3 linked regions of the Neodiprion lecontei genome follow. The protein of the gene in region 1 interacts with the protein of each later gene in a pairwise test. Links are inferred from orthologs where the notes say so. Each region holds a gene or a part of one and is shown in the gene's direction. Other genes may lie near its edges. The genes, in order: mitogen-activated protein kinase 1, ARF GTPase-activating protein GIT2 and protein phosphatase 1 regulatory subunit 12A.

Region 1 (9,585 bases):
AGTTTCTCAAATGATAATTTTATACTAGTGTAAATTTAAATCATTGTCAATAAAACTCATGCTTCGATAATGAGGAATCGTAATACCTTCAGATTTCTCTAGTTTAGACAGTGATTTCCACGCAAATACATTTATCTGTTTGATAAATTTCGTTTCTTAATTAAAGTCAACAAGGTGCACATACCTTTGGCAATTTAGAGTTTGTCAATTCCAACATCATTCTCCCACGCTTGACCTTTTATAGTCTACACAGTAAAATCGTTGAATTAAATTCAAAAGTTTTACTCGCTACTCATTGAACAAGTCGACTTTTCGGAGAAATTAGTTCAATTTCAATTGCCTTTCCGGCACAGCTTTCTCAGTATTTCTTTCTTGAACTTTTTGTATTACGAGAATTCGTAAAAAACCACGGCAATGTAACATTAGTTGAGAAATTATTTTTTTGTGTCAGTTGTATCTTTTTTGGGAACGAAGATTTCAGTGCTGATTGAAGATACATATTATCATCTTCAGTTAAAGGTATGAGTTCAGTATTAAACATATGTTCCCAAATTACAGAAGGAACAACTGTATATTTTCATCCTCAGAAAAGGTTTCTAACTCTTTTAACAGTAAACCAGGTTCATATTTATTATGCATCTATGTAGATAACATTATTTTTGTCGATCCGATGGAATTATATTGACAGTGCTGAATTTAGCCCCAATGAATTTGCGTAGTTGAAAAGCATACGTTGTCCATACAGGAGTTATATGAAAATTTGATTCTGTTGCCGTTCGTCATTCTGTAGCATTCTCTGAGTTCACGCGGTGAGCGATGGATGGTAACATCAATTCGTGTCGCCTCTATAATACTTACCGCTTGCTGGATTGAGTTGCGCGTATAGGGCAGGACGCAGAGATCGCCAGTTGACGATGAATATATCTCTTGCCATTTTCGATTACGAAAAGCGGCATCAAGCTAGCAGCCTATATGTATCTCTATGAACATCTACTTCATATCCAAGCTTGCACACACACACACACGTGTATCAACGAATATTATTTCTCTATATTATAAGGCTGGAATTTTAATAATCAGATATTGTCCACTCATATTTTAATACCTCAAAGTATTCATAACACGAATACCAATTGCTTACGTTGAATTACTATCTGCTTGCATTGCAAATCAAACTATCCTTACTAATATTCAGATATTCATACCTTTAAGCATTGTTAATTGCACTATTACTATTATGATATCTAATAACTCATTTCAAAATCGGGTAGACAACTTAAGAATTGTTGAACCAAGTAGAATATATTCAATGCAATACAATAACAAACTTTGCTAGGGGTAATTCAGATCGAGCTGTGCTTTACCACCATCAATACGATGCTATGCCGCTAAGTTCTCAGAAATGGTGCACAGCGCTGGTGACATTGCGAAGTCTTGAGGGATATATTCGATCATAGATGAAACGCTTATTAGTTAATATTGTTTTACCTTGAATAATTGAATCTTAAGAATCAATTCCTAAGGTAAAGCAGCCCCGTAGAACATTGCCTTAGATAACTGTACTTAATACACCCTGAATACGTGTTCAGTTTTGCACACCTGTGCCATCTTTTGTCACAAAATTTTTACATTATTCAATTGTTTAATCATAAAATTACCTAAATACAAAAATATTCCGATTACAGAAATGATATTAAACATACATGGGGCCACAAGCCAAAATACATTTAACATCAAACATCATAAACCTAGTGAGGCACGCTTTAGAAGCAAGTTAGCTGTTAGCTGGGATACGCAAAGCAGACCATATAAGGTAAAAACCAAGACACGAATTAGTTCAACCGTGGACTCAATGTAATAAATCTGTCAACCAAAATTGTACAGGAGCATAAGAGATGGTGTCCTATATACACGGATTTTAATCAAGCTCGGAGAGCCAGTTCAATATTAAATTCAATTAGTAAGGCCACTATACCCAAGCGTAGAATCAGTGTCAAATATAAAATCAATTAGTAAAAGTATAGCAAAAATTGTACTTTTTGGTGTAATGTCGAATAGATCTTAGTGCACATTTCATTTACAAAGTCGCAATATATATTAGCTTGAGATGAAACATTAACTCTTTTAGCAAAAATTGTTATCATTTATTATTCGCCTATCGAAATATAGTAACAAAACAAAATATACATATTACTTCTATAAAAAGAAGGGAATGAAGATAATTCTGTAGATTTATTTAGTCCAAGCCATCCTTCTTTTCCTTTATAGCTTCCTGAAACAATATTATTTATGTACTGTAATGTATGGAGAATATTCATTCGGTATAACATAGTTTGCTTTAGTATAATCTAAAAATACAAGTAGATTAAAATGACGAGTGGCAATTTGATATCATATTATACAAAGTGTTTTTAATAAATGGTTGAATGCAACTGACCCTCAACTTCAGTAAGCATTAATAATTTTCTCATGAAGCTTTCATTTTGTAAACCTGGTCTCGGGAAGGCTGGTCATTTTTTTTCAAATATGTTCAATATATGGTTCAGGCCTACCAATTGTGCTCTAATTAAATATTTGACCTTTGAACAGTTGCCTCTAACACAATTTGTAATTCAGATGTTTTTTGGGCAAGTGATTTTGAAATGGGATTATTTTATATAAGCCAGAATTTGATGACAGTAATGAAAGTCCCAAATTGCAGAAGACAAAAATATTAAAAGCGTGTGGCAAAGATACGAGGTGAATCGGCTTTAGGTGTTAGTGATTTCAATTTCAGACTGATTCAGACTATCTAATGCTAGCGGTTTTGCACCACCTAAAAACAAGGCACAAAAAAGTTCCAATCTACCGTAAACAGTGATTTGTTTATTAAACTCAATATTCATCAGATATTTTATTCAATTTTAGATATTTTGCGAATTATTGTGATTTGAATCCGAAAAAATTGAAAAATTCGACATAATGTTATTAAATTGAGAGAAGATATAAGATTTTTTTATTTTTCATTTTCGGCTAGATTTTTACGAAAAATTGACGGTGAATTAAAGTAAGAATTTTTTGACGTGTTATTTCAAGCGAGACCTCTAAATCTTATCCGATAGAGCTGAAACTTGCAGGGAATTAGTTTTTCACCAAAAACAACAGTTTTATGAGGAAGCAGAACTGAAAAAAAAAATTTATTTGCTTGAACTACTCTTGTATATAGCATAGGATTTACTCATCACTGAATATGTTTCATGTTTTGTTTTCTATCCACCCCATACTTTTGCGTTTGTCAACAAAGGGGATAGATATTTTCATTGTGACTAATCGTTATCCTTCAAAAAATTAAACCTACCTTGAAACGTTCTTCAAACAGTGACAGTTCTGCAATGAGGTCAGTTATGGCATGCATAAATGCTTCATGAGGCGTATAATCGGATGTTGTTTGAATACGGATCACAAATTTATGCTCCAACGGGTGCGGCAATTTGTATCCAGCAAACAAAACTTGAGGATCCTTTAACAATTGACTAAAATAAAAGCATAGACATTAATAAACTTATTTGTTATGACAAGGTCGCAAGTTTCAACTAAATTGAAAGAGACGGTAAGAACACTCCTTAATTATATCACTGTCAACTGTTCCCTATTTCAAAAAATCAATTGCTATCACTCAAAGTGATGTTGGCACAACATATTGTTGTCCTGACAAAGTGTAGTTTTTAAAACATAACTATGTGATAAATACTTTCGAATCATGTTTCCCAGGGTATGATCTTCCTTATTGACTGTGAATATTGCTGCATTGGGTACTTTTGAATCTTGTTCCTTGATGATTCTGCAAAAAGAATTCTAATTGTTAGAAGTAATCATTATCGCCCCAGAAAATTCACTCTCTTGGCTGAAAAGAATACTGAGGCTATTCGGAATATTCGGAGGGTTAGATATCAAGTGACAATAAGGTATACCTCTACCATCAAAACATCATGGCTATACCATCCTTCCGAGGGTATCAGCAATTTATGGCAATATTAACGGGTATATGGTTTGTGCTCTTCGAACATCATCGAGATATGAAAATTGCTCAAGTCTGTAGCGATGCAGTAAAAGAGACTGAATTTACTGTCAAAACTCATGTATGAATCAAACATAATTCTAATAAAGCTACTCTTTTTCCAAGTCTAATTCCAATGGTTAAAGCAAGATATTCCTCCGAATACAGCATTGGTGAACTGGGAGAAACCAATGGAATGCAAAATACACTATCTTAAAGTGCGGTAAAACATTTAGATCTTGACTTAGGACACTGACAGGTGAATAGTTTGTTTATATTAACCTAAAACCTGAGCTTGAGGAAAATGGTCTCAGAAAATGCTTACTTTTTCTCTCCATCATACAAGAGAAACGATTCGAAGGTCGGTGGCGCGTTCATGTTAATAGTTCAAATATTCTTTAATAACGAATATTATCCAGGTATCAAAGTGAGAAAATCATGCACCGCTAAATACACTTGGATAACTTCGGGGTTATTTTGCTCGAAGTGCCCGAAGTCACCTGGAAGTGTTGAAAAAGGAGCTCCCAGCGCTGAAACTGAAAATTCCCTAGGAGCGAGACAGAACTTGGCAATAATGCTATAGAGCAAGAGAGACAGAAAATAGCAATGATCTTTTATGTAGTTTAATATTCCCTGATTGGAGCGTTCCTATGCAAACGCTCATAACGACGCTGCATCTCACTCGAATGCCAAGTTTGTCCCACTTCTCTCTAGCCTGGGTATCTATGGCCTTGATCTATGGCTCGAGCATTGAAGAGCTCACGAGCCGCAAAGTAGTTGTCAAAATGGCGGGCGAAGGTTCGGCTTGCATAAATCCAAATGCAGAAATTATTCGGGGACAAGTGTTCGAAGTTGGTCCGCGATATACTAATTTGTCGTATATGGGAGAAGGAGCTTACGGAATGGTTGTGTAAGTTTCACAGGCAATATTTTCATGGCAAAAATGGCAATTTCATCATATGCATTGACCAGCATTGTGACAGGCGATAAGATAAACAATTCGAGCTCTTACTAGCCGAGACATGTTAACGATTCGATTATAATGATAACACGTCAGCTCATACGAGAATACTCGGCAATTTTTTCATTCTATGTACGTTTTACGAACCACACCTTTACGCCAGCTGCTGATTGCCTTTAATTGGCGCCACATTCAAATTCCTGTCACACCCCTTTCCTTCATTTCTGCAGGTTACGCCACGCTCAAGTTTAGTGAGACCTTGATTCGACTGCCTCGTACTTCTTTTTCCAAGTCTACATTTTTCAGATGTTTTGCGTAGTCAGTGATATATTGACTACGAATCCGCCTCTCCTTTATCAATTCACCTCTCCAAGAAATATACAACCTTTAAATATGTAAAAGTTGAAGAATCCAACTTGACACATGCAAAATTTCGGGGTCAATTGTCTAGCAAATAAGTATGAGAAACGTTTTGAAAATTCGAATTTTTAACACAGAGCGTTATGACACTTACCTTCGAAGTTTTGGATAATTTCTATGCATAAATATTTAGGAACTGCCCCTCAAAAACATGGTGATTATAATACAATTGACGATGATTCTAAACACAATGAACACACATCGAGTTGCTGGAAATTTTGGAAAGATATTTGACATTAAACATTAAACTAGAGGTTATGTTACTTGGTCATGATGTACAATAACAGTGCAGAAGCTGCGTCATTCTAGGCAGTCAAGCAGTAATCATACAGATTTTTGTATGTGATTAATGAAATTAATAAGTTAAGGTTCTCAAAGTATTATACTGTTTTGTTTTTATGATTTTCTAAATTTCAGACAACCCTAACATTGTGAAATAACAATTTTCAAAAATACATTGTTACATTAAGAGGGTGGTACATCGTGGTACAGCTTGAACGGTCTAAAATCATACCTATTTTTAGGAGTTTCTGTTTAAAGAAAATGAAAACAGAGCAACTTGAGTTTCAGGACGTTATTATTTGTAGTTTCAAGAACATGGTTGAATTTTTTCATTGAAATTAATAGCAAAATGGTAGCATGGCGCCTATAAGTAGCGAGCGACCACGTTTTCAATACGGTGGTGCAGATTCCTCGGTCAATTTTTATCTGAATGACTGGAAATTTTGACACAATCTGTAAATTTTGTTTATCGATTCGAGTTTGTGACTAGATTTTTGAATTTCAATACCAAATCTTAATATAAAAATTTTTGTTCATAACCGTATATATATGAAAAAAATATCAAGCTTGACTGATCAAAACTTCAGATACAGTTTTTGCAGTGGCTGAAATCGTTATTGCATTATTCGTAAAATTCAGTAAATGTATCATGAAATTTTCTTAAAAGTGGAAAACTCGTGAAAAACATGAAGGATTTTTACACATGTTAACAGAGAGCGATTCTTAATACGTCACTTGTTCGTATGCAAAGAACGATTTTGTTAGTTGTCAGGCATGTAACGTGCTTAAAGTTACTAACGTCCAAAATCTTCTTTCACTCTAAAATTATAAAATAGTGGTTTTTCCAAATTTTTTACTTTAATGTTACTAATTTAAACAACTAGTCATATATCGTAGTGAGCAGTTTTACCAGTTTCCATTGGAGAGAGAAAGTTTTTAATCAGACTCCATCTGGTGTAGAAAACAGATTGAAAACGTTTCTTTTTAGTTTCATTTTGCATTTATATATGTATCGTTCATTGAAATCCTGACATTTCATCTGCAAAGTGGAGGAAAATATTAACGTAATGTAATTTTAGAAAATGTCGTTATTTTCAACTTAAGAATTATCCAAAAATAGACTATACTTCTATATTGCAAATTCAACTCCGTTACAGTTATTTTGAAGTTTTGTAATTGTAATTTTTTGTTCAATGTTCATTGTGTTATCTTTAATAATTTCAATGTTGGAAAATCCCCAGTTTTTCCTGTCACATGTGTCTCAAGAACATATTTTGAATTATTTTGTGTGCGAAATTCAGTATTTCAAGAGACGTATCCACTTCGAATTATTTATTACGTAATTACTAAGAAATAATGTTAGAAGATAAGGTGACCATAAAACCACACGACTAATAGCAACCAGTTTTCCTTTAAAGACTGTGGATTGTACATTCATTGTGCGTGCAATGATTTGAAATGACAAGGCTGAAGCTAGTAGTGAGAGTTAGCAGCCAAATGTGCTAATGTTAATTCGAATAAGGTAGTGGTGAAGTCCGAAAATCAAAATTTTGTGAAATACCCTGAACCCCCAGTACTTTTATAGAATTATGAGCATAAAATTGAACTGTATTTTTCTAATTCCAAAACTACTCACTAAGGTTTGGCTGCTAGCTTCAGCTTCATTTTGAAATGTTCTAGATAAAAGAAGTTTCATCCATTTACATTTGAAACATGAAATTCACTACTACCCTTATCGTGCGGTACTACAATGTATTGTCATGCAGGGTTTTCATTATACCTGCAAACCAGAAAAGTCTGGAATCTTCGGAGATTTTTGTTTTCCTAAAAAAAACCAAGATATAGCCAAAGAATCCTGACGATTTATGGAAAAACTGAAATTTCAAAATCAAACTTTTATATTATTCCAAACGTTACGGTTGTAGTGTAACGCTTGGCATAGTTGTGTAAGCGAGAACTGATGAAAAATTGAAATCCGAGTTCAGTACAGAAATGGAACCCAAATGAAATATAATTTAAAATGATTGATTAAATTTCTTCGTTCATTGCATTAATCGTAAACTACACAATCGGTATCTAGATAATTACAATTTTAAACGTGTGAAAGTCAGGGAGTTTTATAATCGAAAATTAGTTCTATTACTGTATCATTTATCAGATTATATCTGTACGAAATTTAAATAATAGATTATAATTTTAAAAAAAAGCTGAGCCTGTTAGGTCGTTAACTGTAGTTTCTTTAATTATACTTTGGAGAATTTACTAAAGGGTGTTTCTTTTTAATTGCCTCAGGTCAATTACCCCAAAACTAAGCAACAAATCAAAAATCGTTTCATAGAAAATATTCAAGGTTTGAAGGGGTAAGAAAAGAAAGGTATCAGATTTTTTGCAATTGAAACCATCAAGGTCAGATGAAGGTCAACTTAGTTATTTTTAGATGGGATAGTATATCTTTTTTATTGGCCTCTGATTGGGCATCAAATTTTGCATAAAAAATGACTTACGTAGTTGTTGCCTAAACTCGACCGGTGATAAGATACCAGCCGGTCGAATTGGAGCAAGGTACCTTGTCAGTTCTATGGAAATACTTGAGGCCTCAAGTATTCTAATACTAAAAGTTGCCTGAATTATTTTCTGTGTTGAGCCCATGAGATTAGACAAAGAGTAGTATGTTTGTTGGCATGGTAGTTTATTTATTTGTTGTCAAAGAGTTGGGTGGGTTGAGATAAAGAAACTGCAAGACTATTACCATGTAATATATGGACAATCCTTGATGATCTATGTTACATTTCCAGTGTACAGACTTTCAATGATATCAACTACCCAGATATGGTGTATTAAATGAATAGAAACGATTATATGAGGATTTTTTGTGTCATTTCACTTAAGTAGTCAATGCCGATTTCACAAAGTGTCTAGCTGTCAGGGACATCTGGAAAACCGGAAACTATTAGGAAATTTGCATACGTCTGGAAAAACCAGGGAATTTCAGGGAATTTGATATGTCATTGACACTAGGCACCCTGTTTCAATTTGAACAGCAGAAACATCATATGTTTACCAAACAATGAGATGAATGTTGAATGGCGTGATGCATATATCGATAATTATTATAATTATAAAAAAAAATATTGGTATTAATTTGTTTTTATAATTTATTTTTTGCAGATCTGCGTACGACAATGTAACAAAAACTAAAGTAGCTATCAAGAAAATATCTCCCTTCGAGCATCAAACTTACAGCCAGAGGACTTTGAGGGAAATAAAAATTCTCACCAGGTTCAAGCATGAGAATGTAAGAAATTTTTATATAGACCTAATATTTATTGTGTGAGAGCAAAATGATAACCAATTCCTTACAGACTTTGAATATCACTCTGTTTTTTGCAACAAGTTTGACAAGAAGTATAGTATCACTTATTTTACTCAAAGTGCAGCATAATTCTGTATAAAAATTGAGACAACATGCGGTTTGTATCACCCATATGAAATCCTTAATTACTCTCAAGAAGTTAAACAAGTATGCGATTTCATATTACTCAATGAATCATAGAATTTTGACAAAACACATACTTGAAAAAAAAGAAACTGAAAGTAAAAATAAAATTAATGAAAACTCAATATCCTTGATACATTTTGAAGTCTGAAATAGAATACTTGCAATACTTACCTTAATCTGTATTTGCTTGCAACGAGCAGTAATTGTAATGCAGGTTTCAAATATTATACCAAAAAATATTATTCTGAATTCATATCTGTCTCATAGGTATATGTCAGACTAATTGATAATAATTCCTTTTCAGATTATAGATATACGGGATATACTAAGAGCACCAAGTATGGAACAAATGAAAGATGTATACATTGTACAATGTTTGATGGAAAC
Region 2 (12,565 bases), on another chromosome or scaffold:
ATGGTTATATTCCCTTCCCATTCTACGGGCATCGGATTAGGTTAGGTTAGGTGAGGTTTGAATTCTGAACGGTTGCAGCTGGTGTAAATTACATATATATTGTATAAATGAGCAGATCAGTAGGAATGGTTTAATCAACGAGAAGAACAATGTCAGTACAAAATATGACAATGAATCTATCGAACAATGCTCGATGTTACACATCAAGTGAGTATAACGTATTCAATACTAGAATATATTTTTTAAACGTAAAATAATCGAACTAGTTCACCGACGTTAATCTGTTTTGTTTCCTCTCATTGAGCGTCGGAAATAATTATGGAACCTTTTTCAGAATCCAGCGGCAAAAAATATCCAATATTTAGTATCCGTGACCTTGTGCCAGGTCACACTGGACCGGAAACATCTGAAGCTGCTATGGCTCAAATAGCCAAACCTCGATCGGTGGGTTTAAAATTCAGGAAATTTTAAATGTTAACAGAATCCATTTTTATAAAGTCAATTTTGCTGAAATATCCAGAGTAAGAGTTAATAATATACAATTTTTTACTTTCAAAGCTGACTATCAAATAGATGCGTAGGTTATAGATTTTCCATGTTTGTTTTTGTTCTTATTTTCTGTCACGTTCAAGTATGTTTTCAATTTCATGTTATGGTGTAGATAATGACGAGAAATAATTGAATAGATGGTGTTTATAGTTCGAATTCTATATTTGGACTGTCTGCTATATACATTCCAGAGTCCCATCGACCTTTGACTTGCGGCTCACTTACACTTTGCGAATGCTCTAGACACACTCTTATACATGTACACTACAAATGTAATATTAACAGAATTGACTGTCGAGAGTTAATAGTTACAACTGTATATTTTGTTATTAATACACAGGAGAGAAAATGCCAACCAGTGAGAATATCTATGGCTTATTTCAATGATCCATCGGACCGCAGAAATACTGGATCAAGTCGCAAAACTCCTGGTCAGTATTGCTCGATAGAACGTTTCATATCTAGCTGGTACAGATAAATAAATATTCAATGCAGAGAAGTTTGTTCAGTTTTTAAAATTTCTTTTCAACTTGCATACATGGATTCTTGGAGGTCTCATTTTTTTCCTTTTCCTTTTATAAAAATTGTAGCTTACCTTACATTCTTGTACCGTACCAAATGACTAAGACTGGTAATGGTAACAAGTTTCCTTACTTCTGCAGGTCGACCATTGCCGCAACCAATTCGTAATATTCATAAGCTGTTTGAATCACCCAAAAACAATGCCAGAAAGAGACTCGATAGTTTATACGATTCTTCGAAACGAAATGAAAATTTAAATCATTTAAAAAGAAAAAGTCGACTTCTGATTGGTAACAAAATTGTGCCAAGGTTACCTGATAGCATCGCAGCACGTGAAGCAGAGCCCACTCGAAAACCGAGCACAGTTAATCCTAACGGAAATTTGAGATGCAGCAGACTATTACCACCGGGATCCATAACGAGTTCTTTTATTAATAAGCGAAATTCAACGGCAGTAAGATCTTCGATTTATAAACCTGTAAACCATGTCCTTGTTGATCAGAAAAATGTGCAAAGTGGAAGACCTTCGAATGTTCCAGAAGAGTCGTCGTTAATTTCTGAGACACATGATGAAAACTTGTCCATCAAACCAAGTACTACATCATTAATAAATTTTTCTGCTAATCAAATTGAAGATGCAAAAAAGGATTCAATTCACTCAGTTTCGACGCCCAGTTCTCCCAAGCAAAATCAGAAATCTACTAAGTGCTGCAACTGTTCACAGCTCGTAGTCGATTCTAATACAGTTGTGAACATTTCTACTTTAACAGATAAAAATATTAAAGATTCACAAAACACCCTACGTATCGTTCAGCCAGATTCAGATGTTGAAAAAGCTGCATGTCATCGGCCTACAGTAATTGTCATGCAAAAGGAAGTAGCTTCTCAAGCCCAAACAAATTTTGATGTCGGCGTGGAACTAGAAGATAGTGTATTTGTACAGGATGGATCATATTCAGAAGTTTTAAGCCTACAACCACCTGCGAATTCTGTTAAATCTGAGGAATCGACGACTTTCCAACGTATAAAAAATGCTACTGAAGAAAATCGTGATGCTGAACTGACTGAGTTTACGTCTCATTTGATAGATATGAAGAATGAGGTGCTCGTTTTCAAACAAAAACAATTAATAGATGAAATATCCCACCATGAGAAATATTTAGCAAACCTTAAATTGGAGTTGAAAAATGTGAATATAGACTTGGATAATCAAAAAATCCGAGCGTCCAATTTGAAGTTGGAAGGTTGGAGAAGTTTGAGTAATGAAGATATGGCTTTTTTGGTATATCAATACAATGGGAATACTAACGAGCGTTTTGATAGGCGTTTGAATGCCCAAGAATTGTCTGTGTCTGATAATAATGGAAATCGTTTAAAAAACACCCAGGAATATCATCAACAAACTGCTGAGACTGCTGAGCTGAGAAAATCGTCAAGTAACGAAAAGCTCCAGTCAGATAAAGACAAAAATGATGATTTATCAAAACACGAATCTACCAACTTGGCTGTGAATATCGATAAAACAGAAAATATTGAAAACGAACCACCTACCAGGAGACGATCCGTTAGGTTAGCGATGAAAAATGCTAATCAGTCCTTGCCTGTCAGCCACAGTACACCTGTGATAAAAAACGGGAAATTTGCAGCTTCCCAATCTAACAATCAGTCCAAGCCACCCTGTACGCCAAACATAACTACCACTCCTGGGCAAAGCAATGCTTGGAAGAAAAAGAACGCCCGATCATTGCGGGAATACATGGTTCTAAAATCAGCTAATAAATTTTTAAATACACCAGACGTCCAGCGCTATCGAATGGGATCGGATGAAAAGGTCAAGATTCAGGATACAAGTAGTATGGTAAACGATGGATTACTTTTAACAGATAAATTATTATCCGAACTTCATGACTTGCATGCTACACCTCAAAAATTTTACCCATAAGTACGTGTAGTAATGCATAAACTGTATTTGTATAATTAATAACTGTACAATTTAATGTTATTTTTTGTAAATTATAATTGCAACGTATTTATTGTAATCGTCTTTCTACCCATTGATCTTAATTTGGAGGAATAAACGAATTTTTAAAATATCTGTACAGATCTATAAATTGTCGTGTATGTATATGCAGAAATAGTACCACAAACTTCCTTCGGTAGTATTCCAACAATTGAGTTGATAAAACGTACATCTTTCGAACGAAGTCGATTGCGCAACAATAGATTCGACTGGTCGAAGATACGACGGTTTAGATATATCGACACAACGCATATGAGGATGTTTGCATGTGTATGGTGGTAAATAATTAATGAAAAGTGTAATGGCGTCTTTGAGCAGTGTTTTTATTTGTCATCAACAATTACTTAGACGTTAATTGTTGCTATTTAGGTATGTAGAAAAAGTCATGCTTCCGATTGAAGGATGGATTTTTGACGTCTCGCGTATTCAGCGTTAACTTCAGAGGTGTTACCCGGGAGGCTAAAGGGTGGACATAGATAAAATAATGGCGCGACCAAAGCATCGAGGAAGTGTGGATACTTGTGCCGACTGTGGAGCTCCTGGTAACTGCATCATTTTTATTTATATCTCAATCATCTTACCCAATTAGTTACTTATTTACTTAGGCGTTATGTCATCTCACCGCTTGATACGCGCATTTTTTCTGTCTCTCTCGCATTCATTTATTTCTAAAAATTTCACTTTCATTTTTATCCTAAACAACAAACAACAAGTATTTATCTCACCTCGTTTCATGAGGTTAGAAATACTCTCCGGTCGCTGATGAAAACTTGTCAAATGATTTTTATTTCCTGACATTACTCTCTTACATTTTGTACTGTCAATATTTACCGATTTATTGACACTTACCGATGTGTGCGTAAATCCGATATAGTTTTTTCTTTACTTCAATATTATTGCCATACTTTCAATTTTTCAAAAAATTATACGTTTACTTTGATGTTCTTTTTTGTTTTGTTATACAACTAGAACCGGGATGGGCATCTTTGAACAGGGCTATCCTATTGTGCGACGAATGCTGCAGTATTCATCGCAGTCTAGGACGCCATGTATCGCATATCAAGTCTCTTCATAAGGGAATTTGGAGCACATACTTGCTTTCGGTCAGTGATAACGAGCGTTACAGTACCAGTTTTTGTTTGATCTTTTTAAGCATTGTACGTATGATAATGTTCATTTCAACAGATGGTACGTACCCTGAATAACAATGGTGCTAATAGCATTTGGGAACATTCCTTGTTGGATCCAAGCAACTCCAAGATTAGCAGACGAAAACCTCAACCCAAAGATCTGTTACAGTAAGTTGAGGTGGTTTAAACATTATTGACATCGTTATAATATGATTCACTTTATAAATAGAATGACGCAACTCTCTGTCAAGCATCTTATTATTTCTATAAAACCTGAATAATTTTTATTCTTTGTCAAGACAATACCGAGATTTCAAATCCTTTGCCTATTTACATATATTCAAATTTACGCAGCCCAGTGAAAGCGGATTTCATCAAGGCAAAACATCAGCAACTGGCATTTATCCTGCGACCTAGTAAAGAGGAAATTTGTAGCGAGGAAGAACTTAGTAGACAGCTTCACAGCAGCGTTCGTACTGCTAATCTAGAAACTTCCCTTCGCTTATTGGCTCAGGGTGCTAATCCAAACTACTTTTATCAAGTACGACATATTTACATTGCATAGAGAGTAGGAACTTTGATGAACCATTACCTTTAAATCGACTCGGTCACTGTTAATGAATTAAAAAAAAGATACTGATCAGATAATGCAATTCTTAGGAGAAAGGAACCACGCCATTACATGTCGCTGCTAAGGCAGGACAGGCGTTACAGTTGGAACTCCTCATAGCTAATGGCGGCAACCCAAGTACAATGGATTCTAATGGCCAAACAGCTGCTGAACATGCCAAGTATGTCTGCTTGTTTTTTTTTCCACTTTCATAACGAAACGACAACTATCTCACTCACCGTTCATATCATAAGTGATAAAAAGTTAGCTGCTGAATTATATTCTATATTATTATTCAGGATGGCTGGACACCTGGATCTAGCCGAACGAATCATTGAAAGTATGTACGAAGTTACAGACAGATTAACTTATCATGTATGCGCTCGTAAACCGGATCACCGACTAGGACAACACCTTATTATACCTCAATGGGGTACAACGGAGAGAAATGAAATGACTATTCAAGCTAGAAATAAGTTACAAATGGTAAGCAACTCCATCAAATTTATTCATCAATTAGGAATTTTGTGAAATGCATTATAACAATGTCACTTTAATGGTAATACAAAATTTGATGCTTCTAATTTGTGCGTTTCAGTTACCAAACCATTTGTTGGAAGAGCTTGCCATGGACGTTTACGATGAGGTAGATCGTCGGGAGACAGAAGCTAGTGAGTAAAATTATGTTTGAACTAGTTTTAAATAGTGTATCGCTAAGTTTTCATCATAGTCAATAATTTCAAACACGTTATCCACGATTCAAGACTATGTTTCTATAAGCTATAACAATAGCAATAGGCCAAAATGATTTATTGATTATATTGCGATCATAGCTGTACCTTTTGCCATAAAAAATAGAGCATATTTTTTACTATGCTGTTTACCTAAAACGCAAAACAGCTATTCTCATTCATTTACTCATTATTAATGCGCATGAATTTTTTATTTTGCCAATCATAAGGAGAGGTGAGTTAAATACGATTTGAATTTTATCTATGAAATTTAGTTTAGGTATTAGTTTTTTTAATTATACTGGTAGTTGGGGTGGCAACTTGCATCAGATCAAGTCATTATAGATGCTTATGGAATACTGTGTTTACTTGCAATTAGTATGTTCTATAATTTAGCAGATACTAGACGTGTAAGTATATTCTTGTTATAATCACCATACTACAAAACTTTGCTACTGTAGCAACTTAAATTTCAATTTTTCAGACTTTGCATCAGTAGGTTTACAGTATATTCCTTACATGCACATAAAATTAGCTCCATACACAGTTTTCCATTAAGATGAACCCAAATTTTTATGGTTTGCATCACTTATTTACATTTTTTATCTATCTTTAATCTTCATCGTAGTTTGGATGTCCAACGCATCTTTGCCAGAGAGATGCACAGTCCCTTTCTTGCCGGTAAACCCGCAGTTATCGTCGACAAGGAATCAGGGTAGACAAAAGCTTGCGCGGTTCACTGTTCAAGAGTTTGCAATTTTAATCATCGATCTTCTTACCGAGGCCAAGCAGAGACATATGCTTACTAACAGTACTCCTCCACAAGGTTTGTAAAAGCTTGAAAAATTCCCGTAATCGTATAATCGGTGATGTAAAATTTTATCTTGATTTTTAATACAGATCCTGCAGTTTCATTGCTTCGCAAAGAGCAGACCTTTGGCAATCATGCATCACAAGTATCAGACGATGAGCCTTTATATGACAGCGTGGCTTCCGATGACGACTATGCTGCTCTTACAGTGGTCAATGCTTCTGCCCAGACGTCTGTTCCCAATTTGGATGACGAGGTATTTAAACATAATATAAGACATGATTGCAATCGTTAAGCACACTTATACATTCCACATGTACACAGTTCGCAGTGAAAGAATTGATTCGAAATTAGTTGATTATTATTATATTTACATTCCCGATTACCTGTAACTCATTTCGATTGATGAACCTGTAGTCTTCTTACTTCGATAAAGTGTTATTTTCGAAGCAGTCGTTGTACTTACTTCGGAATTACTCAAGTTCTGATAAATTTCATCAATTATCTCTATGTGAAACACAAAAAAAAAAAAACTTATTAAAGGTGGCTGAAGTAGTAGGAAAACAACGAATACGGAATCGACTGAGCACGTGGCTCTTCTGCAGGCAGTGTTACTAGGCAAGTGCCACAGATCTGTGTTCGTGCATGCACAGCTGTTGCGAAAATTTTCTGATCATTTAATCCTAATCCACATTCTAATCAGATACGTAAATGAGTACATGCTGAGTTTAATAAATCTTAGCTCGTCGCCTGCAAGGATTCATGTTGCCCTAACACAGTTTCTAATCGTAATACACTTGTCAAACTTAATCAGTGTGGTTGTAAAATTTCCTTCATACGTATATGATTATGGAAACGCAATGTTCTTATTTAGAAAGCTCTCGCTCCAATGGCCAAGGGCTTACCGTCTGTGGTCGAAGTTCTGAAGAAGCAACTAACCCTCTCCGATTCAACAATTCGTGACCTACGCAATGAAATACGTTCTCTTCAGTCCACCGTCGAAAGATTATCGCAAGAAAACTGTGAGCTACGAAATATGATTCAGGTGAATTACAAAAGTCGGTTGAAATCGATCACAAGATTCGAAAGTAGAAGGCTTACCAAATTTGTTTATCATGATTAAATATTATTAATCAATCTCATCATACATGCACGACGTTCAATAAACTGTGTTCGCATTTTGAAAGTGGATAATATATTTCTTGCTACAGGCACCTCTCAAATCGAGACTTCAAGAAGATGCTGTGGTTAATGGACACGTGGTTGGTGAGCGAGAACTGGGATCAGAACCAATCCTAGATGTAAAAACCCTGACACCTCGAGGTAGTCAAAGACCGGCATCAATGTACGAAACCAGAGAAGGTCTTCGCAAGTCTTCCCCGTGGTCTACGGCTAATAATCAAGTATGCATGAGAGGATTTTCATTAGTAGATTATGGGAATCGGAACTTTGTCACAACGATGTAATTTTCACCACAAAACTTGTTGATGAATCTAGGCAAAACGGGAGGTTGAAGCATTACCGCGGCCAAATACAACCCAAAGTCTGTGGGACTGTGGTACTGTGAGTCTTCCCCCTAGCGAGGAAGTAACTAGAAGAACAGAACAAGTCACAAGACGTATTCAAGAGTTGTGGATGGCTATGCAGGAACCCAGTTGCAGAGAAGCTTTCGTACCTTGCGCTGAAAAAATTCGCGTAGCAGTTGCTGAGTTGACCGCAATATTTCCACCGGCTAGTATTTGGTCTTTATCTGATTTTAATCATGGTTGTGTCTGATACTATAATTTCAACACTTTTTCTGTAGAATCCAATGGAGGATAACGTAAGATCGGCATTACGTCAATTAAATGGTAATACAGGTAGACTTCAAGCGGAATGCGCAGGACTACAAAGGTGCACAAGTGATACAGACCACATGGATCGGTGTCTTCAACAAGTACGCTCGTGCGCTTACGACATAGCTAAAGCCACAAAACTTCTGGTCACTCAATTTCAGGTATGTTGATACTGAATTAGGTTAATTTCTATAAAACTTATCAAAGGTAAATCAAGATAGGAAGTTGTGCAATTCTCGAAAATTTGTTGTAGCGAACGTTTGTTTATAGCTGCATTAGGTAAATCACTACTGATAATAATATCCATATGCTCATGAAATTTGTAATATACGTATACAGCTTATCGGTTTGTGAATAACTTTTGTTCTCAACGCTTGAATGGTTAATCATACTTACATTTCACAAATCAAATTAACAAAGTATACGATTTCTGTATCATATATCATGCGAGTAACGTAACGTCATCTTTTTCATAGTTTAAAAGTCTATTCGATGTAGGTCATTTCTATTTTAATCATTAATATCAATTATAAAGACTGAATCTATTTAGAGCCTGGAATTCGGTTTACCGATTAGTGTAAATTTTGAAAGAAAAAGATATTGCCAAATCGTATTTAGTTCAAATCCAAAACTTATGCGCAACCTTAAAATTCAAGTAAAATCTTTTCAAACTTAATATGTACGTAATAATAACATGGTATATTAAGAAAAGACTGCAATAATAAGCATATAAAATAGTTCACAAGTTTAAATAGTTATGTTACATCTAGCAAGCTAGATAACTAACAAATTCTTAAGACAAATATATAGTTCAATACAGTTACGTATCAATTTCTTCCATCTAAGCTATATTCTTTCCACTTTTATCTGTGTTATTTTCATCGATCTTTTATATTCAACTCATAATTCGATAGTCGTTGCAATTTCTTCATCTTTACATATACCTGCGTTTTTATTTTGAAGTACACGAGTTTTGACATTTTTTTCGAATCATTGAATGCAACTTGTTTCCAATGTGAATTATCTTCATTCTTTGAATAGAAATATTTCTTCAATCAATTTTTCATCAAGGCATCGTTAATTTTTTTTACGCGACCTTTTACGTCATTTAAATTATTTAATGAGCGATAAGAAAAAAGAGGAATGTGCCTGGATATACAAAGATATTTATTGCATTTATTCATGCTTTTAACAATTGTATTTAATGTGCAGCTGAAGAATCCATTTAAAAAATATTTAGTGTACCGTTAAACAGAATCCTGATGCATTGCTTCAGATTCAAATTTTTATATAGAATATATTAAAGATAAAAAGTGTTCCGTATTAAATACAATTAAGGAAATATTTTTATTATTAAAATATACATAATCATATACATCTATATATATATACATATATATAAATAACGTTTTTCAGTATCAATAAAAGAATGCTATTGGTGCTTTATATTACACAATGTTTAGTTAATTGATGTGGCTTCAGAGGATGCGAACTGACGTAGGCTTAGTAATATTATGCATCCCCTTTGCCATTGGAATTTTACTGGTTGTCTAATGAAATAATTATTGAACGTGTTGAAATTTATTGTTTAGAATATTTGCGATTTTTAGAAGTAATTTTTCATTTAATATTAAATTTATTTAATAATGAAGAAAATACAATATACAACATCTGTATAGCTAATTTTATAATATTATTATTGTACTACATCGACAAGAGTAATATTAAGTATTTATCCTCATTGAAATTTTGAATGAGTTGACAAATTACATATAAATACATACTATATACATATATTTACTGATTAACAAAATTATTACATGAGAGTTTTCATTCAACGTTCGTTAATCCTCTACATTTAAGCTTACCTCTCAAAGCTAATATATTTAATACAACTTCTATCAAAATTGTACATCCACACGTCAATCAGCTTCGTTTACGCTGCTGAAAAGTAATGACAGTAGACATGAACCAAAAGATGGAAAAAGATACTAGAATGTTGTTGCCGTTGGTTCGTAATAAAAGAAAAACAATTGTCAGATTTCATATTTTGTTTGAAACGATTTATTCATTTTTTATGCGAAACTTTATTCTGCGACTTACTGACGCAATGAGTGTATAATCTCTTATTTTAAATACTGATACACGATACAAATATAGTTTTAATTTCTAAAAACTACAAAAATGTCGGCAGGAGAAGTGATGAAAGAGCTTCTGCAACCTATCATACATACGTACCCGTTATGCAAGGTACGTTTTAGGATAACATGAAAGAGAGAAACACGTGCTCATTCCCTGATGTCAAAATAGATGATAGTTTTCACGACATGAAATTCTAAAATATTTTCTTTTCACTTTCAATTTAACTTCTAATTTTCTACAGACAACCGATATGCCAGAAGAAATGAAACAGGAGGCGTTAGAGTTGTGCACAACGGCGGCAGAAAAATATGCTGATAATTATGAACATGCTGCTAAAATGATCAAAGAAAGTCTTGATAAAAAATTTAGTCCTCCGTTTCAAGTTGTAGTTGGCGAGGCTTACGGTTTTTCTGTAACTCATCAAGAAAAAACTTTACTCTACATGTACACAGGTGGCAATCTTGCTGCTCTGATTTGGAGGACGGTCACTGGCTTTTCCTAACTTGTTTAAAATCTATTATTGGGTTTATTTTTTTATCTTTACTCATACGAATAAGCGCGTTAATAATACAAACGGAGATCTGGAAAATTTTATTTACATCTATACAAAAACAAAATCGTACCAGCTTGATTATTTAGAACGCATTTATATTGTTGTGTCGCAGCGTTAAAAACTTGTTATACAAATAAGTTTATCGGTTTTGAAGGTATTGATAGAATTAATTCAACTAAAAATCGAGTTTGAATCAAATACAGTGTCTCAAATTTGTTGAATATATTTTCAATCAGGCCACAAATATTGTTACATCTCATGTATGTATTTATAATGAGACAATTTCCGGTATTATACATAAATATTATTGCAATCTTATTATAATCATAAATTATGAAACTGGTGTTCTGACCATTCGTATCTCCTATTTGAAATTTCAGTGGACGCAAATCAAAGGCGGTACTAGATTTGGGATATTAACTAATATTACACAAGTGTAGTCTTTTTCATTTAACTGTATTTTTATAATTCTCAATAATTGACTAGATCTGATGTTTCTCGAACTTTATCATATTCCTCACATGTGTATTTACATACTCACAGAAATTTAAATCAAAGATTCAGAATCAAATTCCATAGAGTCTGTTTGTACTTATACTATTATTAATCAGTCATTCGAACATCGATTTATCGTCAATTTTTATAGTAAAGATTATCGATCGTAAAAATTTTCCAAACCACGATATTGCAACATATAAAGTACCTATATGAAAACCAATTAAGATCGGTATTAATCTGTTGAAAAAATAGGAACGAGAATATTTATAATCTATAGTGAAACCATTTACACGAATGACAACGTCAATACATCTTTAAATATATTGCCAATACTCATCTCACAGAGTTAGCACATTTAGAAACATTTTTTATCAATTGCTTGTGATTAGGATAGTGAAGTAGCTTTTTTGTCTAGCTGATAGCATTAGTATACCGTTATCAAAATAGACTTTAATGTTATGGCTACGCGGATTTCCATATACAAATAGCTAAATTTCCTGCGCAATACATGTACAGAAGGTGTTTTAGCTGATAGGTAATCTCGAATCCGTATCCTTCACCCACTACCGTGTGCCAGGATGCTCCAAATTTTTTGTCCATCGTTTCCTTAATCATTTTCGAAGCACTCTCGTAATTATCCGCGTACTTCTCGGCTGCCGTTACGCATAACTCCATCGCTTCCTGTTTCATCTCGTCGCTCATGTCACATTTCTGTTGGAACAAACAATAAACAACAAAAATAAAAATACAAGAATGCCCCATTAACTTCAATTTCCACTGAAAATGTTTATTTATTGAACGACTGTGAAAATTAAATTTGAATTCAATATTATACACTTGATTCTAAGTTCATTTGTTAATCTTAATTTCTAATTACACAAAAAGATGCAAAGATATTGCATCAAAATTAGAGAAGAAATCAATTGCTCGAATACATGATTCGAATTTGTTTATTTTTATTTTCGAGAAAAATTTAATGTACATTATAATTACGTTTAGATATTTGTAATTGAATGGGGATTGAAACTCACGCGACACAAGGGATACGTATGAAGTATTTTGACGACATCGTCCTTCTTGACTTCCGTCATCGTTCTGTTGTTTATTTTTATAATTCAATCTCAATCGTAGTTATAATTGCATTACACTATTAATTGTATGTGC
Region 3 (9,894 bases), on another chromosome or scaffold:
CCCTCTCTGTGTTATTGGTAAAAATAAATTCGCCCGCGATTTTCATTTGAAAATAACGAGACCAGCGGAAAGTTCCACGAATTATTTTCTTAGGTCTGCATGGAACTAGTAGATAAAATGACCTTAAAAAATAATAATTATCACATAACTCACGACATTCTTTGAATTCGCACTAAATTCTTCACAAGATTTTTGTTTCTTTCTACTATGCATTCGATCGATGGTTTGACAAATAATTTGTGAACAATGTGATTTCTCAGAATTACGAATGTATAAACAGAATGTCGCAATGAATAAAAAGACTCGAATATTATCATAGTTCTTGGACTCTACCACCATGTAAAGGATCAGGTGCACATGTTGCAAGGGAGATTGTTTTATAACGGGTTAAACTTTAGTTGATCTGTATATATCGTCTTGCATTGCAGCAAATATTGGGAATAATACTTCTTTGTTCATTCACTTGTGTTCGTTTGTGATACATGTATAAAACCAATGTGGGCCTTTGTTGTAAATTAACGTACGATAAACCATTCTTGTACTTCCTATTAATATAGTTTTATTTACAGTTTTTTATAGAGGGTACTATTCATAAGAATTATAAAAGTCATGTGGATCATGTGTCTTGCAATAGTAGTATAGTTGAAACAATCGTTCGATTTATTCAATGTACTTGAAGTTTGATCAATACAATAACGAGCCATGATTTCAAAATTTTGTTCTCTCAAAAATAGGATCTTGATAGTTTTCTGAGCAGTAGATATTTTACATGGTGTTGTAAATACGATGTACTCCTACACAGTTAATTTCGTTAAGAAAAAGATTTTGAGCTATCAGACGATGGCCTACAAATACAAAATTTGTTATCTAGATCTTGTTTAGCATTGTGATTATTAAAAGAATAATTATATACAAAATAGTGATGTTAAAAAGATTCTATCTTTGATTATTAGTACAAGGAAATGTTTTTTCTACTGTTGGAAAGCAATGAGGCAAACACAGATTTTCTGAAATTGCTGATAATGAAGTTAAGAGTATTTTATCAATAAACAAACATTTATTTCTACAAATCTACTTTCATTGGTCATCATTTGTGTCTTTCGAACTTGTCCGATAACATTTATTCACGTTTGAACTTTGTTAACTATAAACATTGTGATCTTCCCTACACTTTACCAACCGACGTTGGTAACAATGAAAAACCAAATGCAAACAGACTCCAATTCCAGTGATATGAAAATAACGAGTGTTGTAAAACTGAGCAAATTTTTTCACGGTTCACAGCAAAAGTCAGCACCTGTGAATCTGTACTTTGAATTATTTTCATTTTGAATTTTTAGGTGAGTAATAAATGAACTGTATTTGAATTTCTTACTCATCTACCTGTATAATTTATCATTTACTTTTAGTCACTTTGTATCTCTATCAAAGTAGATGGTATTTGCGTTGTTGCCATTATGAAGGTAAGTAAATAAACCTTATCAATCCGAACGTTATCTCTCTGTGAAAGTAAGCTACGTAACCGGATTATCACTGCTAGCAACTATCTTTTTTGTCTTGAAAAATAAACGAACAATTATACAAAATAATATGACCTGTCAATGTTTACATAAACTTACAAGCCTGTCGGAGAAAATATGACACTACGCGAATCTAGTGTTATTGGTAAATATGCATTTAAGTAATTAGTGTACACTGGTACCTGCATGCGTTCTTTGCGAATTACACAACAAAGTACAAGACACGTGATGATTCATCATCCATTAAAATTATTTCGTACTGATTGCAGCAGAGATAATACCTGCAGTCATTTATCGCACCATGTATCAGCCAATTGACAAGGTTCACGCAATCGGGGTAAGTAAAGAGTGAAAAAACGTAAGAATACCCGAAATAGCCAACTGGAACTGTCAATTACCACATAAATGTTGAAAAGAACAGCCCCCGTCGCCCACTGAGGACCAACCACCGTGATAACGGTATTTATCGTGGCGAAAATCTCCGTGTGTAAAAACATGCGGAATATTATAGGTGAATGAAATTCCTGTCAGATTAAAAATCATGTATATGACGACGCGATATTTGACGTGACAGAGCTTTCTAAACAGTTTTTTCTCCACAAAATCCAAACGTTCACCGAGGCGACGAACGAGATGAAGACTGAGGCATGCAAGGAGCAGGGCAGAGGAATAAGAGTATATGTATCAGGTGTGTATGAATGTGTGTGTATACATACGTTTGATTAAAGCCTTTGGACTAGATCCAAGTAGCTTCAGAGCGCTATGTGAAAGGCTTCGGACCAATCAAACTCGTGGTTTGAGAAGAAAGCAGGCTGATAGTAGTCTGCTAGTTAGCTCGGAATCTGAATTGAGCAAGCCTTATGCGCTCGGATGTATCCAACGAACTACACGCGATACGTGTAAGAATGCAAACGTCGTGGGGGAACAAACGTCGGTCAAAAGCAGAGAAAAATAAAAGGAGAGTTTAAAAAAAATTATAGTAATGGACAATGTAATCGTAAATGTAAACTCACATTCCATTAAAGGGAAACGATAGTATCCGGTGTTGTAAAGTACTTAACAGGTTTCTATTTACGAACACACTACAACTCACTCCGGATCACTAATCACATAATTTCAATGACACTGTGCCGCCCGATCCACCACCCGTCTACCATTAGGTTTCTACTCGACTGAAGAGAGCAGAGACGTCCAGTGAGACGTCTACCAAAACGTCCAGCTGAAACTGAGCTCTTTAGGTGAGCTGAAGTTGGTTACTGGTGGTGTGCTGGGTTGAGTTCCCTAACCCTACACCAGAGGTGCGTAATTCAACTCGCTATCTCTCTCGCACGCACTGTATTCCATCAGTTATGTTTACACCCACGGTTTAGACCAGTGGTTCACAAAGAACGTATTTCGTAATGCTGGCATGGTCATTGGTCAACTGACATACCGACGTCAATTTCTTATTCTTTTCTATCTGGCGCCTTAAATAAACCCCGTAGTTACGGTAATGCAGGGTATGGACACTTGGTACTCCCCTCACTCGTTATTCGTAAGATCGGGACCAAAGCGATATCGCAACAATGGGGCAAAAGTATAGAGCATAACATTTTTTTCCGTGCCATTCTTGATTTGACAGAGGTCGTCACCACAAATACTGTATTACCAGCTACTTCCGTGATAATATAAAACTAGTTTTAAAACACTCGCTCGCTAAAGCTTGTTCGGGGTCGGACGCCTAGTGTAACTAGTTTTTGTGCTCGTGCGCTCGCTTACTCTTTGTCAGTGTTTTACCAGATGACATAGTTGTCGGGGAGACTGGGGCACGATGACTCCCCAAAAACTTCCGGTTTTTGCTTCACAAGCCGTGTTCGAAAATTGACTGACAGTATTGTCAGCAATCTTTCATCTCTTTTGCGCTTCCAAGTTCGTGGATAGCTCTGACTCTGTCTTAGGGAATTTTCGGTACTGTCAGTCAATTTTCGAACACGGCCTTTATGAACAGCGCTGCTGCTGCGTCAATTACTAGACAAATGTTAGTAATATCTAGTAAGTTACTAAACTGCTGCTGCTTTTTGCTGCCCATGAAATCCCAGCTTTACCGAAAGCACTTGGGGACTCGAGGAGTGTGTTCGAAAATTGACTGACAGTACTGTCAGTACTGAAAATATTATAGTCCAAGTGACCTATACTGTAGATTTTCAGTACTGACAGTACTTTCAGTCAATTTCCGAACACGCCCAATATGTGTGTAAAACCGCCGTACGGTAGGCAACTCAACTGACAGAAAAGAGTAACGAATGTTAAGCTAGACAAGTCTGCCGTGGATAGTTTGTGTTTTGACCACGAATTTGAGGTAGCGCGTGGGTTGTGCGGCCGAGTCATTCCGAGTCGGCCGAGCGATTCCGAGCAGTTCCAAGAATAGCCTAGCACGAGTTTAGAGGTGCCTCGGCGTCGGGCGACCGCTCCCTCCATCTACAGTGGACAGAAATCGTATGGGGGCTGGTAGCGAGCAAGTGAAGTGAGTGTGAGTCGAGAGTGTGGATCAAATAATGTCTCTAGAGACTCGATCAAGTTCGGCTCTTTTCAAGAGGGCCGAACAGTTAAAGCGTTGGGAAACGTCGGAAACAAATCGCGAACCACCCCACCCAAGGCAGATTGATCGTAAGATTAAATTCTCCGCGGACTGTGTGTATTTAGCAGCATGTGCAGCGGGCGACAAGGAGGAGGTGATTCGTTTGTTGCAGAAGGGGGCCGACATCAACACCGGGAACGTAGATGGATTGACAGCCCTCCACCAGGTAATCCGAACCCTGCTCGCCTCCCTTCTTTTCGCCTCCCGTCGCCGTTTCGCGATTTCGGTTCCTGCGGCACAGGAGAATCGTCTATTTAAACCCGGTCAGTCGGGATACTGACGGGTTGGTATATCGTCCCGAGAAAGACGTATGTGTGTCTAAGATGGCCGCGGTTTACTCCAGCTGTCTCCTTAATCGCAAACAACGGCGTTCCGCTTACGTGGATTTCCCTCAATGGAGCCAGATTTCATTCCTCCCTCGACCATCGTTCGTATAACTCAACGATTACCTCGTCCGCTCCGATACTGAGCCTGTTAAATTTAGGAATTCCTTCGAGTGGTCGCCACTGGCACGGTTCGCACACTGAATCCCCCTCCCCCCACCCACCCGCAATCCCTCACTTGCTGTTCACATGTGTGTCTCTCGGTTTGCTCCTGACGTGCGTCAAGTCGGCCGCTCCTCCGTCTCCTCCTCGTCTCTTTACATGCGCTTCTTCATTCCTATTCAATTTTTCGTTTCTGCCAGCTGCACACCTGTGAGGTGTATCGATTGTGCGTTCTGTCACCTGGCCAGTTCCATCGCTTATCGCTTGAAATCGGTGTTACACCTTCTCGTAGCTGACTGTCAACTCTCGTATTGCTAAACATGGCGTACCAAGCTTCTGAGACGATGACCCTTTTCCAGGGCTGCAAAAGCACCGAGTAACCTTATCTAAGTTGTCGACGATAGTTTTAGGCACCTGTTCTTGTCCCAATTCTTTGTTTACTTTGAAAACAGCACACGTCACATTGACTTTTTGACAATATCGCTGACAACAAGTTGAAAAACATTAAAATTCAAAACAACAACGATACAGTGTTTTTAGAAAAGATAATTATCATCTTATCGCTTAAGACGTAGTTCCTATAAGTAAGATAACCGAAATTCTCAACACAGCTGGTAAGCTGAGACGTAATGTGGCAATGAACGAAATTCATTCTTCGAAATTCTAAATGGAAATCATCAGAAGTTACTGATTCTTAATATCAAGTAATTTTCTCTTTGGAAGTCAGGGAAAATATCTGGATTCATTGGTAAGCGTTCATCAGACTTCCAGTATATGGGACACTAGTAATCTGCTATAATTGAATTTCTTCCGTTTTAGATTTTCAGAAAAAAACTCAAATGCATCCGGTGTTTCATCAGTTACTGTAATTTACTTCTATGCTGGGTGCTAGTATGCAACAACGTAGTTTCTTTCGTTAATAATTAGAATTTGAAATTAAATTTTCTTCAGTGTTATCCCATTTTACCCACCGAACGGTAAGCTGAATGCATTACATCGGCTTGTGCCAGTTGGCTATGGGCATGTCAAATCACTCGAATAGTAAGGAACAGAGTAGTTTATACTGTATACGTGGCTTAATGCAATATCTGATGGTATCCAGTAATTAAATTTCTACCGCAGAATATGTTCAATGTTTCTCTTCGACATTTGGTTTTATGAATTTTCTCTTATACGAAAGAAATTTTATCCCTGAAAGAACGGAAATGTAAATAAATATCAACGAACGCATGGCCAAGGATAAATTCTTCCTAATTTGATTTTCATGTTTTTCGTTATCCAGAACAGTTGAAGTGAAATTTTCTTTTTACCTTACTAATATTACACTAAACGTAAAAACTGAGAGATAAAAGACTCATGAACTTGAGCCAGGAATGAACTCGCTGACGTATGCAAAATTGGCCATTCATCATTTATCTTTATAGTTTGGATAATGTATTAGTCGACCTATTCATCGAGTCATTTGCGAGTCGACCTGAAAATAATATATGCCAACTACCGTATCTCGTAATAATGGTAACGAAACATTTGCTGGCGTGATAGAAATATTGATTGATATTCATGCATATAGATAAATTTGAGTTGGAGCAACTTATGTCCATGATATATACATGCACGATATCGTACAGACTAAGAACAGCGAATTAGTTATTCCGTCAAACTTTGTAATGGCCAGTTGAAGAACATGCCAAATAACATAATATATTAATGATATATTGTAATTCAAAGTAAAAACATGCTTGTTTCTCTAACACAATACACTATCCATTGGAGAAGATACATTACCGAAAGTGCAAACTCCTTGTAATTGTACCAGGTCTCAACCAATACCCTTGTGGGAAGTACCTGGTAAATCGAATTGATTGTGAGATGTTAAACCGAATGATATTGAAAAGAGGTTTGTTCTGCAAACATATATCTACGTCGCAATTCCCTCCAGTGGTACTCAGACAAATTTTACAATTATTTGAGCATCCAGAATCGAATAAAAGGTGACTGCGCTTATGAAAGAAAAACGTACACGGAGCTGTAAAATCCAAGATATTGCACAGCGAAACAATGATATGAGAATACACTTGTCCCAACCTTGCTAAATTTCTGCTTCCTCAAGGTTAATTATTTTGAAAATTTATTTTCCTGGTTCTAATGGGCATATCAATTCACTTTCTATTGTGTCAGTTAATGGAGCTAAATATCGTCTCAGAGGAGTTAGAAATTAGGGCTCGGTATTTGGTTTCATCAATGCAGAAAACTCAGTAATGTACGCGTACACATTTTTCAAAGTTCATAAATTTCGGGGTCTTTAACTATTATCGGAGTGCCATAGTGACTGACTATTCCGTGTATTAAAGAAACTGATGCAACGCTTTTTCCTATCATTTTCATACAATATCTTGTTCTACTCTCCTGCTATTTAATCATTGTTGCATGCGTTTGCTCGTTATTTTCTCATCAGATTATCGTTAAAATATATGTACGTGAAATTTTCTACGTAATTTTATTTAATCGCTGCCGACCCGCTTTTCTTCATATTAACTGAATTATCAAAACTTTAAAATCCGTAACAAGGCAATATTAGAATCACACCATTTAACTATACTGCGTTTCTTCTTGATAAGAGAATTGCTCGTTTAGCTATCGATTATTCACGAGGCTGAAGTTAGTAACGTTAATGTAACGAGACATTGGGGGGAAAAATTACCATTTTGCAAGTTTATGGGGACTTAGAAGTATTTAAGTTTTCAAAATATGAATACATTTTGCCTTACTATGATTTACTAAATTTCAGACATTTCTGCTACTGTGAAATAACGATTATACAAAACCTTTATCATTACAATAACGTTACTAATTTCAGCCTCATGATTATTCGTTTTTCTTTTTCTTTCATGTAGTTTCTGAAAATTCTCTCAATTAGAGAAGACAAAATCTGATTGGCTTTACTGAAAATTTTTCGGGTTCCGCTTTTTCGGATAAAGATATAATATTTAGCTAATAAAACTGAGCTTTTCACTGTTGTTGAAAGCAATCTTCCAAATTGTATTCTTATAGTTTCACGATTTCACCATTAAACGGTACATTATTATTTACAATAATATCCTAGTGTAATGTTCGGTCCATAACTTTCACACTGTATAAGTTCCTATCCTTAATGTTTTATCGCAAATTGAACCATTTAAATATCTATATTCGTCATTCACTTTCTATGGATTGTATTCTAATGCTAGGAGTCGCGTTAGTCTAATTAGGTAATTATATTGAAGTTAGTAAGGTTATAGTAACGATTCATACTGAGGAAAAACCGTTATTTGGCGATTTTTGAATTGCCTGAAATTCAGTAATTCTTAATAACACAAAACACTCTTATATTTTGAGATTTTAGTTCCCTCAAAATCATTTTAAAATGAAGAAAATAGTGATTTTTCCCTCACTGTTTCGTTACTATAACGTTACTCACTTCAATCTCGTAATTCAAATGTTTTATGATACGTTACCCTTGTCTAATAAAATTGCACCAATAATCTTGAAAATTACGGTGATTCCTCCATTTTGTCGCGTTATTAACAAGGAATAAACCAAAGTATCGTCCAACGTCCATGTCCATCAATGTGAAAACACTTGAATTCGACGAGACTGAAGTTAGCAACGTTGACGTATCGAAACGTTGAAACAAAAATCACTATTTGCACCTTTAGATTAGCTGAAGAATTTATCAGGCTGAAGTTTGTAACGTTATTCTAATGATGAATCTTTACAAAAATTCATTATTTTGTTACTTGAGTTATTCGTAAGGTGCAAAACCGTAATTTTCGTTTCAACATTTCGATACGGTAACGTTACTTAACTTCAGCCTCGTAAGAATTTGAATTTACAAAATCAGAGTTTGTTCGTACTGTATTGACAGTTTGCTAAATTTCAAGTAATCCTAAATTTGCAAAATAACGACTTTTCCCAAAATCCATCATTACAATAACGTTACAAACTTCAGCCTGATAAAATTCGTGATATTTCCTTTGCTATCCAACGAAGTGCGCAACGGTATCCGTAACTTTCTTTCGCTCTTCATTTATCGCTGGTATAGTCATCGTTCTTTTGTTACTGTGTTCAAGAGCTATCTTGACCTGCATTTCAATGTTCTTATCACCCCAAAGATTTTTGCGGATCAACTTCTTGTTGGCAATGACAGAGAAAGAACAGGAAGAAATAATTTACGAATCCGCTGTTTTGGCACGGTCCAAATCGCAGCCTCACTCACTCATCCATTGTTCGCGGTCATTATTATTCATCATCAACAAACCCCTTTCATATTTTTTCTTTTTATCTTCGACTGGCAAGTAATACTCAAACTTGAATTGCAATATGCAAACTATTTCAACGCGCTGCCAATTGGCGCAGCAACGAATATGAACCGTTTACGCTTTCCGTTCAGCGATACGGATACACGTTCAAGCACGAGTATAACTGACAGTAAAGTGTTGGTAGTGACGACCGGCAACCGGCGTAACGTTACACTAAGATTAGACAGAGAGTTTGGCCCTCTTGCGAAACATGTATTATAAAGTACACCGGAATTCGTTCCGAAAACTGCGAACAACTGACTTCAACTAATCGATATTCGCTGGATACTCATTGTTTTCCCTTTATAAAAATTCCCTTAGAAATCGTTTATTTTCACAACATTCTTTCAAAATTAACACTTTCGTGCATACATTTTTCCTTATATGCGATTCACTTGAAATTTTGCATGCATCATGGCCTTTTGGGCTCGCAGATTACGAATCTGAACTCGAAATTCGAAAATTCAAAATGGCGGATCTAATATGGCGGACAAACAAAAACAACAAGAAGAAAGATGTTTTTTGGTGTATATTAAGTATGTGTAAAAATTGGCGTTTGGATTTTTTGTGCTAAATTAGCAGAAAATTCTTTTTTTCCCGGAAAAGTACGAATTTCGACCATTTGTTAACATGTGCTATTTTTGCAATAAATAAATAAAGAAAGTTTGTATTTTGTTTTTTTAGTCTTAATAATATTTCTGGTACCACGTGGAACCAAAAAACTCGAGAGTTGTTGGCAAAAAAGTAGTTTGATAAATAAAAAGCTGCAAAAAAAAAACCGGCCCGAATTAAAAGCTTAATAAATATTCATATAATGATGCGTTTTGCGTATGCTTTTACGTATTCCTGAGTTCGTGGATCGTAACTTGAAATGTAGAAAAGTTTAATATGTCTTCATCAACAAATTTCAGGATATCGCAAGTACACATTCGTCT

Evidence for each region.
Region 2: the proteins of mitogen-activated protein kinase 1 (region 1) and ARF GTPase-activating protein GIT2 interact in a two-hybrid assay, tested with the Caenorhabditis elegans proteins (3 studies listed by BioGRID). The link is inferred for Neodiprion lecontei from reciprocal best matches to the Caenorhabditis elegans genes mpk-1 and git-1.
Region 3: the proteins of mitogen-activated protein kinase 1 (region 1) and protein phosphatase 1 regulatory subunit 12A interact in a two-hybrid assay, tested with the Caenorhabditis elegans proteins (3 studies listed by BioGRID). The link is inferred for Neodiprion lecontei from reciprocal best matches to the Caenorhabditis elegans genes mpk-1 and mel-11.

What each region holds. Positions count from the first base shown.
Region 1 is NC_060262.1:23,225,568-23,235,152, forward strand, and holds the start of mitogen-activated protein kinase 1, read left to right. Parts: upstream 1-4,732; 5' UTR 4,733-4,761; coding exon 4,762-4,946; intron 4,947-5,436; exon of another isoform or gene 5,437-5,455; intron 5,456-8,867; coding exon 8,868-8,994; intron 8,995-9,502; coding exon 9,503-9,585. Other genes in the region: DNA-directed RNA polymerase II subunit RPB11, read right to left, coding at 2,237-2,272, 3,338-3,512, 3,731-3,820, 4,362-4,414. UniProt on the Caenorhabditis elegans protein: Functions in let-60 Ras signaling pathway; acts downstream of lin-45 raf kinase, but before the lin-1 gene product in controlling vulval cell differentiation. Plays a negative role in proximal germline proliferation in the mitotic zone.
Region 2 is NC_060264.1:4,182,549-4,195,113, forward strand, and holds ARF GTPase-activating protein GIT2, read left to right. Parts: upstream 1-3,345; 5' UTR 3,346-3,575; coding exon 3,576-3,633; intron 3,634-4,060; coding exon 4,061-4,194; intron 4,195-4,276; coding exon 4,277-4,389; intron 4,390-4,575; coding exon 4,576-4,762; intron 4,763-4,881; coding exon 4,882-5,012; intron 5,013-5,130; coding exon 5,131-5,317; intron 5,318-5,429; coding exon 5,430-5,502; intron 5,503-6,190; coding exon 6,191-6,388; intron 6,389-6,462; coding exon 6,463-6,629; intron 6,630-7,247; coding exon 7,248-7,418; intron 7,419-7,584; coding exon 7,585-7,776; intron 7,777-7,870; coding exon 7,871-8,104; intron 8,105-8,177; coding exon 8,178-8,378; 3' UTR 8,379-10,392; coding exon of another isoform or gene 10,393-10,458; 3' UTR 10,459-10,591; downstream 10,592-12,565. Other genes in the region: uncharacterized protein LOC107227510, read left to right, coding at 150-207, 335-444, 890-980, 1,212-3,013; dynein axonemal light chain 4-like, read left to right, coding at 10,393-10,458, 10,592-10,852; dynein axonemal light chain 4, read right to left, coding at 11,864-12,112, 12,433-12,492.
Region 3 is NC_060261.1:7,034,600-7,044,493, reverse strand, and holds the start of protein phosphatase 1 regulatory subunit 12A, read left to right. Parts: upstream 1-3,900; 5' UTR 3,901-4,054; coding exon 4,055-4,303; intron 4,304-9,894.